Macaca fascicularis: one gene and its partners. The protein of the gene in region 3 binds, or shares a complex with, the protein of the main gene of each other region. Links are inferred from orthologs where the notes say so. Each region holds a gene or a part of one and is shown on either strand. Other genes may lie near its edges. The genes, in order: DDN, LATS1 and WWC1.

Region 1 (4,075 bases), on a different chromosome or scaffold from region 3:
CTCAGCTCCGCACCCAGTGCATCAGCTGCGAAGAGCTCACCCTTGTGTCCTGAACATAACAGACATTAATTAAATCTACTGCTGATTCTCACCTCTCCTGAAACAAAATCATTAATGGGCATATGCTTCCCTTCCTTTCATTTATATTTCAAGGATGGGAATAGGTATGGGTAAGGATACAAGGAAAAGAGAAGCAAAGGAAGTCTGAGGAAGAATGGGGACCAGTGGACCCAAGGATGGATGTGTTGGGGACTCAAATACAAGAAGGGGCCTCTCACTGCCTCTTCTTATTTCCCTGTTGAGTCCCCCTGATGTCCCTCACCCCGAAGAGGACCTCCTCGGTTTGGCTTATGACATCTAGGATCTCTCCGACACTGTCGCTCAGTTCCGCTGTCTTCCCATCTTCCTCCGACGAACTGTTTCCAACCCCGGGCAGGGTCCTCTCATTCCGCCAGGAGGCGCCTGGGGCTTCTGTGTCGCTTCCATCAGAGGAGCCGCTATGGACGCTAAGCTCCTCAGCTTCGTCCGTGTCCGAGTCAGGGGCGGTGTGGCGGCGGATACGGGACACGGCTTCTCGCAGGGCCCCGGCGTAGGGCCCTGGGGTCCGCGCCCAGCCCCGGCCCGCGCGCCGCTGGACCACCGCCACTTCCGAGCCCTCGGCCCTGCCCTGGGCTCCCGAAGCTCCTGGGCCTAAGGCTTGGTGCTCTGGGCTACCTGGCTGCGTGGGGGCGTCCCGCAGGTTTACTTCCGGGGCCGGGAGCCCCAAGATGCGGGAGGTGCGCTCCTCCAGTGAGGAGTCCCCCGACCTCCCGCCCTCAGCTTCGCCCCCGCGGCCCCCGCCGGGCTGGTGTAAAAGGCGACTGTTCGACAGCCGCTTTCGGCAAGGGGAAGGAAAGACCGTGGCCCCTTCACTCTCCTCCTTGCCGGGCTTCGATTGGCTGGCGGATTCCCCCACCACGCGTGTCACCCCAGAGGGCAAAAGCTGCACCTGCTGGGTTCGGGGGGTTGGAACATATTGGGATCGTATCACCACGCACGTGGCGTCAATGACAAAGACTCCTTCCCCACGGGACGGGCCCTGGGAACTGCGGGGCAAGGTGTGGGCACGGCGGGTCGCCTTCCAACCCTCCAGGGTCTCCGGTCCTGCCCCCTCTGCAAGACCCTGGGATTCTCTCCATCCGGTGCCTCCGGGAGCCCAGGGTCTGGGGAGTGTCTGGCTATGGCGGGGCGGCTGCTTTTTAGGGGAGGGAATCCAGCATTTAGGGAACCAGATCTGTTCTTTTCCTTCTTTCCCTTCCCTCGAGCCCTTGAGGTGGTGCCTGGATCTGGGAGCGGGACGCGGGGCACTGGGAGCCGCAGTTGCAGACCCCGCAGGAGTTGTCTCGGTGCCTGCGCTCCCTGTAGCTTTGGCTTGGGGATGGCTGTCGCTACCACTGTTCAAGTCAGCAGCAGCCAGCCCCAGGCTTTTCTCCACGACCCCCTTGCCGGGCTCTGGCCTTGCTCTGGCCGCTCCACAGCCTGGGGATCCCCCCAAGAGACCTTGCCCCTGTCGGAGACCCCAAGCCCCGAGGACGTCCCGGTAGATCCGAGGATCCAGCCTCTTCTTTGTGCGCCCTCCCTCTGTCCTGGCCGGAGTCGGAGGTGGGGCTGATGAAGTGGGCACCTGGGAGTGTCCGGGGCCTCTCTTAGTCCCCAAGGTCCTATGGGGGCCTTCGTAAGAAGGTGGAGCCACGTAGGGTGGCGGCCGGTCCCAGCGGCGTCGCGGGGCGGTCCCGACAGAACCTCTCAGCAGCAGGTGAGCCTCGTAGCTTGGGGGCCCCGGCCGCCGACCTCCCCAGGGCCCCGCCCACGCCGACCCTGGGTCGCTCTGCGGCTGCGCGGATGGACGGGGCGCTCGCCCCACCAGCGCCAGGCGCTCCGGCCGCAAGGTAGCAGGGAGCCCTGCCGGCTGGGCTGCCCGAGGGGCGTTGCGGGGCTCCGGGCGGGGCCGACCCGGGGGGCTTCGTCGGGCCCCACCAGCCTTCCGCCTTTTTCGCTCGGTCTCCTTGGCCTCCCGCTCCTGCGACGCCGCTTTCCTTTTCTCTTGCTCCCGAGCTCGGACCTCGGCCAGGGGCCCCGCCCGCCAGTTGGTCGCCTCCTGCAGCACCCTGGAGGCCCAGGGCCGGCGGGGCGGCGGCTGTGGGGATCCCGGGCGCGGCCCACACCTGGGACAATGAGCAGGAACCCAGGTGAGCAGTCTGTGGGGGAAGGGAGCCGAGGTCCGGGGAGCTGGGAGCAGTGGAGACCACTTGGGGCAGCCATGTGAAGGGGTGTGTGTGAGTGTGTGCGCGTGTGCACGTGCGTATATGTTAGGACTGAAGTCGAAGCGGGACTCCTCGCCATCTCTGCCTGCACACTTTAACAGCGTCTGCCCCATCTCACCTCCTGCCCTTTCTCACACCCATTCCTGTTCCCCCAAACAACCGGATGAGACAGGCCCCAGCCTTCGGGAGCGGGCAGGGGTGGGAGGCGTGGGAAAGAGAAGGGGGATCAGTAGTGCTCGCTGGTGCCTGCGGGGTGGTCCGGACCCCACTCCCCGCCCCACCACTCTCTTCCCCTCACCCCTGCTTCACTCACGTGCGGTTCTGGAACCCGCGAGCCCAGTGGCTGGCCTGGAAGTCCATGGGCTGTCGAGAAGGGGCGCGGCGACTATAATGACAGGAAATAGTCTTCACTTCTATCACCAATAGCTTGGACTTCTGCACCCAGAGGCAGCTGCCAGACTCCTCATCCTGGAGCTCCCGGGGGCTGTCAGGCCCCTCGGAGAACAGTGGGCCATCCAGCATCCTGCCCCACCCCACCCCGGCCCCCCACCCTCCCACCCGCCCCAGGAGCCCCCTCCCAGCCCAGGGAGCCGGCGCCCACTGCAGAGCCGCGGGCCCGGGGACTGGGAACTATATATACCCGGGCACACGTGTGTGTGCCTGTCTCTGTGTGTGCGCGCGCATGTGACACCGCGCGGACTGCTCCGCGCTGCTACCTCCCCCATGTGCACGGCCGCCCCCTGGGGCCCGGGATTGGACGCCCCTTCCCACTGCTGTTGTCCCCCAAGCCTGATGGGATCGCACGAGTGGGCGGGGGAGGGACTTATGATTCTTGCCAAGCTGACAGTGCCCCCTCCCCCGTCCCTGTTTCTTCAACCTTCCTGCCGTTTTAACCCTTTACTCTCCTGCTTGTCAGGTTGCCTGACCACCAGGGTTCTGCCCCTGGCTTCCTGCCTCAGATTTCAGTTTCCCCAACATAGAGTGCGTGAGAATGGAACTCAAGGTCTCTGCCTGCCACTCTGCTGGTTTCCATGGGGTTGGGGCGCAGGAGGGGCTGGCCCACGGCTGGGGGGCTATTTTTAGCGGCAGTGGCTGTTCGGGTGCAGAGATGAGATGAGTAACCAGCTTCCATGCGGTGGAGAGAGGAGGCGGTGGCTTTCACCAAGCTTTGTGCGACTCTGAGGGAGAGCTGCCTTCCCTAAGCTCAAAAAGGGTGACCCCTACACCCGTATCTCCTCGCCAGCTCAGTGCTGCAGCCTAGGACTGCTGGTACAGCAGGACACAGGCGTGTGCCTTGGCCACCCAAGCTGCCCTACCAGTCCCATTCTACATGTTTGTCCTTGGGCAGCCAGGGAGCCCTCCCACAGCAGCAGGCTTTCACCTCCAATTTAGAAGCAGGATTTGGGGGTTATATTGTTCTGTGCCCACACAGCCTGCCCAGCTTTATGGAGGACAGAGTAAGTGCTTATGCACTCTCACCCTTCCAGAGGGGGATGGAGGAGAGATGGTGTGTTTGCTTGGCAAAACTAATCCCCTAGCAACTGAAATGATAAAAGTGGCCTTTTTTTTTTTTCCAATGTAGAGCTCCCCCTCACCACCACAATTGCCTAGTTCACTCAGCCCCCACCTGAAGTGGTGCTCCAGATGCTCACCTTTGGGCTGCCTCTGTCCTGGGGGGCTGTTGCTTACATCCACATGATCCCTCCTCCTAAGCTTATACCAGGTGTCCCCTGATTCACCATGGTAATGTTAGTGGCAGCACAGCCCACGCC
Region 2 (3,645 bases), on a different chromosome or scaffold from region 3:
TACTAAAAAACTCTTTTCGTCTGTTCAAAATTTAAAACTTTTGGGCCCCCAACTTCTATGAGCAATAAGCTAGCTGAGAAAGATCTGTATGTTCCAAAGGGAAGGTACAACACAAACTTCGCAGGTGGCCAAGGATAATTAAAACAATGGATGAGAGAGTTCCTTCCAAATAAATCAAGGTCCAATCTCCCCTACCTCCACGGCTGGTTGCTTACACAGAATCTGACTAGGAGATTTCAGATTATAGATCAGCATTTGCTGCTTATCTTCCATTATTCTCTTTTTCTAGGAAGAGTGCTTTACTGTGGCCCTTGTGTACTGCGGTGAGTGAGTGAGGGGAAGAGAAAAGGAAGGGAGATAGAGAGAAACAGATACAGTGAGTGACAGACAGACAGAGTACGCACACACGCAGCACACAGGACACATTACTTCATCATATCTGGACCCGATTAAGAGATTACTGGGCATGTGGACCATAGGACCCAAGAATCTTGCCTCTATCACTAATCAGGGCCCAATTTGTTGGCAAAGGAATAACATAATACCATGAACATCTTTCCACAGTAATAGGTGTCATTTATTTATTTATTTATTTTGAGACGGAGTTTCGCTCTTGTCACCCAGGCTGGAGTGCAATGGTGTGATGGCTCACCGCAACCTTCGCCTCCCAGGTTCAAGCAAATCTCCTGCCTCAGCCTCCCAAGTAGCTGGGATTACAGGCATGTGCCAGTATACCCAGTTAATTTTCTATTTTTAGTAGAGACAGAGTTTCTCCATGCTGGTCAGGCTGGTCTCAGACTCCTGACTTCAGGAGACCGCCCTTGTTGGCCTCCCAAAGTGCTGGGACTACAGGTGTGAGCCACTGCGCCCAGCCACATTTTATCTTTTATTCTCTCTCTCTTTTTTTTTAATAGAGACGAGGGTCTCGCTATGTTGACGAGGCTGGTCTCAAACTCCTGGCCTCAAGTGATCCTCCCATCTCGGCGTCCCAAAGTGCTGGGATTACAGGCGTGAGCCACCATGCCCAGCCAGTGTCACGTTTGTTTGATTCTAAGCATGCTTTTCTACATTTTAATATTTCTAAAATTTAGGGCCAGGTGCAGTGGCTCATGCCTGTAATCCCAAAACTTTTGGAGGCTGAAGTGGGCGGATCTCTTGAGCCCAGGTGTTTGAGACTAGCCTGGGCAACAAAGTGAGACCCTATCTCTACAAAAAATAGAAAAAATCAGCCAAGTATGTTGGTGTGCACCTGCAGTCCCAGCTACTGGAGAGACTGAGGTGGGAGGATCAATTGAGGTGAGAGGATCAATAGAGCCCAGGAGGTCAAGGCTGTAGTGAGCCGTGATTTTTGCCACTACACTCCAGCCTGGGCTGGAGTCAGAGCAAAACTCTGTCCCAGAAAAAAATAATAATAATAAATAGAGTACATCTTAAGATCAACCCTTGGGCCCCCAACTTCTATGAGCAATAAGCTAGTTGAGAAAGATTTGTACCTTCCAAAGAGAGAATACTCACCCAACACACACTTCACAGATGGCCAGGGATGATAATTAAAACAATGGCTGAGAGTTCCTTCCAAATAAATCAAGGTCGAATCTCCCCTCCAAAGCAGAGAAGTTCTAGAGTAGCAGTCATTGCACATGCCTAACTTAACCATAAAATAAAAGCCGAAATCTTTGTTACCTCAATTGTATTATTTTCTTTTTTTGTTTTCTTGAGACAGAGTCTCGCTCTGTTGCCCAGGATGGAGTGCAATGGCACCATCTCGGCTCACTGCAACCTCTGCCTCCCAGGTTCAAGCAATTCTCCTGCCTCAGCTTCCCAAGTAGCTGGGATTACAGGCATCCACCACCACACCCGGCTAATTTTTAGTACTTTTAGTAGAGATGGGGTTTCACCATGTTGCCCAGGCTGGTCTCAAACACCTGACCTCAGGTGATTCACCTGCCTTGGCCTCCCAAAGTGCTGCGATTACAGGCATGAGCCACCATACCCGGCCAATTGTAATATTTTCATTGGCGGCACCATATATGATGCTCAAAATGTTTTTTCTTTTTTTCTGTTTTGTTTTTGTTTGTTTGTTTGTTTTTGAGAAGCAGTTTCTCTCTTGTTGTCCAGGTTGGAGTGCAATGGCGCAATCTCAGTTCACTGCAACCTCTGCCTCCCGGGTTCAAGCGATTCTCCTGCCTTAGCCTCTCAAGTAGCTGGAATTACAGGCATGTGCCATCATGTGTGGCTACTTTTTGTATTTTTAGTAGAGACAGGGTTTCATCATGTTGGCCAGGGTAGTCTTGAACTCCTGACCTCAGGTGATCCACCTGCCTCAACCTCCCAAAGTGTTGGGATTATAGGCATGAGTCTCACTCTGTTGCCCAGGCTGGAGTGTAGTGCCATATGCTGGCTCACTGCAACCTCTGCTTCCCAAGTTCAAGTGATTCTCATGCCTCAGCCTCCAGAGTAGCTGGGACTACAAGTACCCACCACCACACACAGCTAATTTTTGTATTTTTAGTAGAGACAGGGGTGCGCCATGTTGGCCAGGTTGGTCTTGAGCTCCTGACTTCATGTGATCCATCCATCTCAGCCTCCCAAAGTGCTGGGATTACAAACACGAGCTACTCGCCTGGCTATTATTACTTTTGTAAATAGAGATGGAGAGCTTGCTAGGTTGCCCAGGCTGGTGTCAAACTCCTGAATTCAAGTGTTCCTCCTGCCTCAGCTTCCCAAAATACTGGGATTACACCATGCCTGGCCCACAAAATGTTTTGAAAAGGTTCCATTGTGATATAGTATTGTGCACTCAAACTGTCATTCAATAGACAATGCAATTAAAGCCATAATTATTAAATTCAAGCAAGATCACAGAATTTTCAAAGGTAAGAGACTCAAAATCTGTCAAAACTTTTACAGTTATCTTCAGAGGAAGCTGTTTAATTAGAAGAAAAAAAAAAAACTAAGCAAAAAGGAAAGCAACATCCCAGTATTCTTCATTATACCTTAAAATTATACACACAATCATAAAGACAACATAGGTTAAGATAATTAACTAGCATTATGAAAAGCAGCCTGTTATCATGATGTTGCATTAACTACCCAAAGTAATTCAGAAGAATCCTAGATTCTGAATGTGAATAAGGCTGAGACTCAAACTTTATTGTGATGAAAATGGTATACAATTGAACGAATAAATGTATGCTACTGATTATTAATAAAATCTTTATGTTTACTTTCTGCCCGCTAAAAAATTGCTACTAAATAGACGGCTCATCTTAGAGTTAGTGGCATTTCAGAACTGAGAAAATATGATAGTTCAACCTCATTCCTTTAAATACCTTGATATTGGCCGGGAGCGGTTGCTCAAGCCTGTAATCCCAGCACTTTGGGAGGCTGAGACGGGCGGATCACGAGGTCAGGAGATCGAGACCATCCTTGCTAACACGGTGAAACCCTGTCTCTACTAAAAATACAAAAAACTAGCCGGGCGAGGTGGCGGGCGCCTGTAGTCCCAGCTAATCGGGAGGCTGAGGCAGGAGAATGGCGTAAACCCGGGAGGCGAAGCTAGCAGTGAGCTGAGATCCGGCCACCGTACTCCAGCCTGGGCGGCAGAGAGAGACTCCGTCTCAAAAAATAAATAAATAAATAAAT
Region 3 (3,645 bases):
TACCAAAATGATTTCTTGAGAAACGGTCCCTTCCATCAGGAAGGCCAGAGCGAGCCAGGACTCCAACTCCAGGCCTTTGACCCCAAATCCACAGTTGTTCACACAGTGCCACTACCTCTCTCTGACTTGAGAATACGTGGTCAGTAGTTGTAGTCTTAGTGGTCCAGAACTGCCAGTGACTCAGTACTTGCTATGTGCCAGGCACCCTTCCCACTCATTCTGATGAATGAGTTTTTCTCACCTTTATAGCCTAGGGAATTGGCCCAATGTTACGTACCTAATAAGTGATCACGCCAGGTCATAACAACAGTAGCGAGGACTTACTATGTGCCAAGTACAGTGCTTTGCAGGTTACAGATTATATCATAAAACCTTCAACCAAAATGGCATGAGGAAAGGGCTTCTGTTATTCCCTTCAGAGAGCTGAGCAACTTGCCCAAGGCCACACAGCCAGTGGTAAGAGGTTAGTGCCTGGTGATGAATTCACATCTCTATTGTACCAGGAACAGGGCTAAGGACATTGCCTTGTTCATGTCTGCACCCCATCCCTGCAAAGCCTAATTCCTTGTTGGCACATGGTAGGCACCCACATGTGTTTATTTAGAAAAAAAAAATAGGTTCCTTGAGACGACATGCTGATCAAAGGAAGACAGTAACTGTCAAAGATTGCTCTGAGATGTCTGTTTCCTTGTGGCATCTCCTGTTCCCGCAGTGCCATTAGGCACACCAGTCATGCTTGCTTTCTTGGCCCCCAGGATCGCCAACCTGAAGATCCAGCTGGCCAAGCTTGACAGTGAGGCCTGGCCTGGGGTGCTGGACTCAGAGAGGGACCGGCTGATCCTCATCAACGAGAAAGAGGAGCTGCTGAAGGAGATGCGCTTCATCAGCCCCCGCAAGTGGACGCAGGGGGAGGTGGAGCAGCTGGAGATGGCCCGGAAGCGGCTGGAAAAGGACCTGCAAGCAGCCCGGGACACCCAGAGCAAGGCGCTGACGGAGAGGTGGGGCTGGGGTCCCAGGGTGTGTAGGACCCTTCTCTCACTGGCAGTCTGTCCTCAGCCCCCAGATGGCGGAAGGATGAGGGGGCTCCAGGCCCCTGGGCTCCACCCTGAGCATGCTCAGTTCAGAGATCTCTCAGATTGCTGACATAGGAAATCAGGAAAGATGATTCATCATCCAGTGCACCAGCTACCCTGGTCCTTTGCATGGTGAACCATGCTACCAAAAAGTCTGCTTAGGTGCAGGATTTCAAAAATGTATCTTCTGACTCAATTAAGCCACATAACTATATAATTTAAAGCAGTCATTTTCCATTTTTTTTGACAGTGATGCACATTTTATACTGTGACCTGACACAAGGTTCACAAAATAGTGTATGCTCTTTCTACCTGTGATGGTCCTCTGATGTTTTCTCTCTTCTACCTGTGATGGTCCTCTGATGTTTTCTCTCTTCTATTGCATTTTGTTTCATGCAGTTCATGACTCACCAAATTGATTTCACCCCATGCTAAGTAAGGGGTTGCAGTTTGCAGTTTGAAAAACACTGGTCTGGGTGGGGGTTGCAAACTGGCATGCTTATAGGAGCCAAGCAGGTCACAGAAATGCTGGAGACCCACCTGGCAGTGGTCTGTGTCAGACCAGAGTGCACAGACCCCACTGGTCTAGAGCAGGTGCTGTCTGTCTCCTGCAGCAAATGGGAGTACAGGCCTCGGGCTGCCAGAGCTGCCTGTACTTCAAACAAAAGAGTTGTTTGGATTTTTTATTTTTAAATATTGGGAACTAATCCAGAAGTTTTTTTCAAAAAATGCAAATCAGCCTCATCTATAGGCCTGATATAACCTAAAAGCCACTGGTTTATATTCTCTAATTTAGACCTTATCATAGACATTGTCTTTGTTTATTTCCTTCAGTGTTCCCACCAACCTCCACACCCACACTGCACCGAATGCAACACTGTGTTCACCATAGGCTTTACGCTCTCCAGCTTCAAGTTCATTCATTCATTCTGTTCAACAGCCAATGTTTACTCATTCATTTGAGAAACGCTTTGCTGCAAGGATTGTGTGTGCAAGGCAATTTGGGGGATTCAGAAATTAACAAGACATGGTCCCTGCCCCATGACCTTTAAATCTATTATACTTATTTTCACCATGTTTTTCGCAGGAGCCTTTATTCAGCAAGGTCCCTGCCCCTAAGGAGCTTAGAAGTGAAGCTGGTGATTTTCAAGTGTGTGTGTGTGGTGTGTGTTTGGAATATGAGCAAGGGAATTCCTTCTTCTAGTGAAATCAGAGGAAGAAGCCCGGCTTATGAAGCAAGTAAACGTGCCTAGTGCCTCAGTTGAAGCAGTCGGGAGTCCTAGAGAGGCCTGTCTGTGGTCACTCTGTCACTCCACCATGGGTCTTCCAGGGAGCCTTCGAGCTCTAAGGTGCCCAGCCTGCAGTACCATCCTAGCAATTGAGTGAGCCCCACTTGCACATGGCATGGTGCCAGGTGGATCAGGTTCACCAAGTTCTCGCCCAGCTTCCCATGGCTTCAGAGATTCTCTTGACTCGTTGATGGCGAGAATCTCTCCCCACTAGTTGCTTAGTCAGAACTGCTAGCAGTAATGTCCAAAGGGTATCCATTTCCTCTCTTCCGTTCTTCATTGGCAGCAGCAGCTGATTAGCCCTGACCCACCACCCATTGGTGGGAGAAGGAGAAGGACAGAGCTTGAATAATTGGTGTTCTGCAGTCCTTGGAAGCACCTTGCTAGAAGTCTTCTTTAGCACCACGACTCCATTATGCTTTCTCTGGGATTTTGTGCTTTGGGGATAAGGCCTGTGTCTGTAACATGCCTGTAGTGTTCGTTGAAAGAATAAATGGTTAGCTGGCCCAGGCAGATCCTTACTAGGCTTCTGTGTATATATCCTGGTCTTTATACCCATTCCCTGGGTTGCTCACTTGCTCCCAGACCCTATAACTGCCACTGGGAAGCCCTTAGCTATTCATAGTCCCCACAGCCAGCAGCTGAAGAGAACAGACTCATGGCAGCTTCACTCCTTGTTGGGGCAAAAGGAACACGCTTCTCACTTGCTGATCTTGAGCAAGTCATTGACCAATTTGGGTTTCACTTGCCTAATAGGGAAAAAACAGGATGCATTAAGTCCTCACTTAACATTTGTTAGTAGGTTCTTGGAAAACTGTGACTTTGAGCAAAACGACATACAATGAAACCAATTTTTTTCCATCAACTTTATGTTTTATTTCTATTTTTTTCGAGATGGAGTCTTGCCCTGTCACCTAGGCTGGAGTGCCGTGGCATGATCTCGGCTTACTGCAACTTCCGCCTTCTGAGTTCAAGCAATTCTTCTGCCTCAGCCTCCCGAGTAGCTGGGATTACAAGTGTGCGCCACCACACCCGGCTAATTTTTGTATTTTAGTAGAAATGGGGTTTCACCATGTTGGACAGGCTGATCTCAAACTCCTGACCTCAGGTGATCCACCTGCCTCAGCCTCCCAAAGTGCTGAGGTTACAGGCGTGACCCACTGCAGCCAGCTCCATCAGCTTTATTAAAAAATGACGTTATTTGAGAACTTGATGTGCATCATTTTGCTTAAAGTTGCAGTTAGCAAGAACCTATCTACAATGTTGAGGATTTACTGTAATTA

Evidence for each region.
Region 1: the proteins of WWC1 (region 3) and DDN are in contact, whole or in part, in a crystal structure (PDB 6J69), measured with the Mus musculus proteins. The link is inferred for Macaca fascicularis from reciprocal best matches to the Homo sapiens genes WWC1 and DDN. Residues at the interface, in NP_740749.1 of Mus musculus: Glu13, Glu14, Ala15, Arg16, Asp17, Tyr23, Ile25, Asp26, His27, Arg30, Thr31, Thr32, Ser33, Trp34; in NP_001013763.1 of Mus musculus: Tyr227, Val228, Ala229, Pro230, Pro231, Ser232, Tyr233, His237, Arg238, Thr239.
Region 2: the proteins of WWC1 (region 3) and LATS1 are in contact, whole or in part, in a crystal structure (PDB 6J68), measured with the Mus musculus proteins. The link is inferred for Macaca fascicularis from reciprocal best matches to the Homo sapiens genes WWC1 and LATS1. Residues at the interface, in NP_740749.1 of Mus musculus: Asp17, Tyr23, Ile25, Asp26, His27, Arg30, Thr31, Thr32, Ser33, Trp34, Asp64, Val67, Tyr70, Ile72, Asp73, His74, Lys77, Thr78, Thr79, Gln80, Ile81; in NP_034820.1 of Mus musculus: Ala546, Glu547, Ala548, Pro549, Ser550, Tyr551, Gly553, Pro554, Pro555, Pro556, Pro557, Tyr558, Leu562, Leu563.

The regions. Positions count from the first base shown.
Region 1 is NC_088385.1:55,812,311-55,816,385, forward strand, and holds the start of DDN (dendrin), read right to left. Parts: upstream 2,914-4,075; 5' UTR 2,826-2,913; coding exon 2,617-2,825; intron 2,229-2,616; exon of another isoform or gene 2,205-2,228; coding exon 275-2,204; 3' UTR 1-274. UniProt on the Homo sapiens protein: Promotes apoptosis of kidney glomerular podocytes. Podocytes are highly specialized cells essential to the ultrafiltration of blood, resulting in the extraction of urine and the retention of protein.
Region 2 is NC_088378.1:57,699,215-57,702,859, forward strand, and holds part of LATS1 (serine/threonine-protein kinase LATS1), read right to left. Parts: intron 1,645-3,645; 5' UTR 1,643-1,644; coding exon 1,516-1,642; intron 1-1,515. UniProt on the Homo sapiens protein: Negative regulator of YAP1 in the Hippo signaling pathway that plays a pivotal role in organ size control and tumor suppression by restricting proliferation and promoting apoptosis.
Region 3 is NC_088380.1:175,154,398-175,158,042, forward strand, and holds part of WWC1 (protein KIBRA), read left to right. Parts: intron 1-755; coding exon 756-998; intron 999-3,645. UniProt on the Homo sapiens protein: Regulator of the Hippo signaling pathway, also known as the Salvador-Warts-Hippo (SWH) pathway.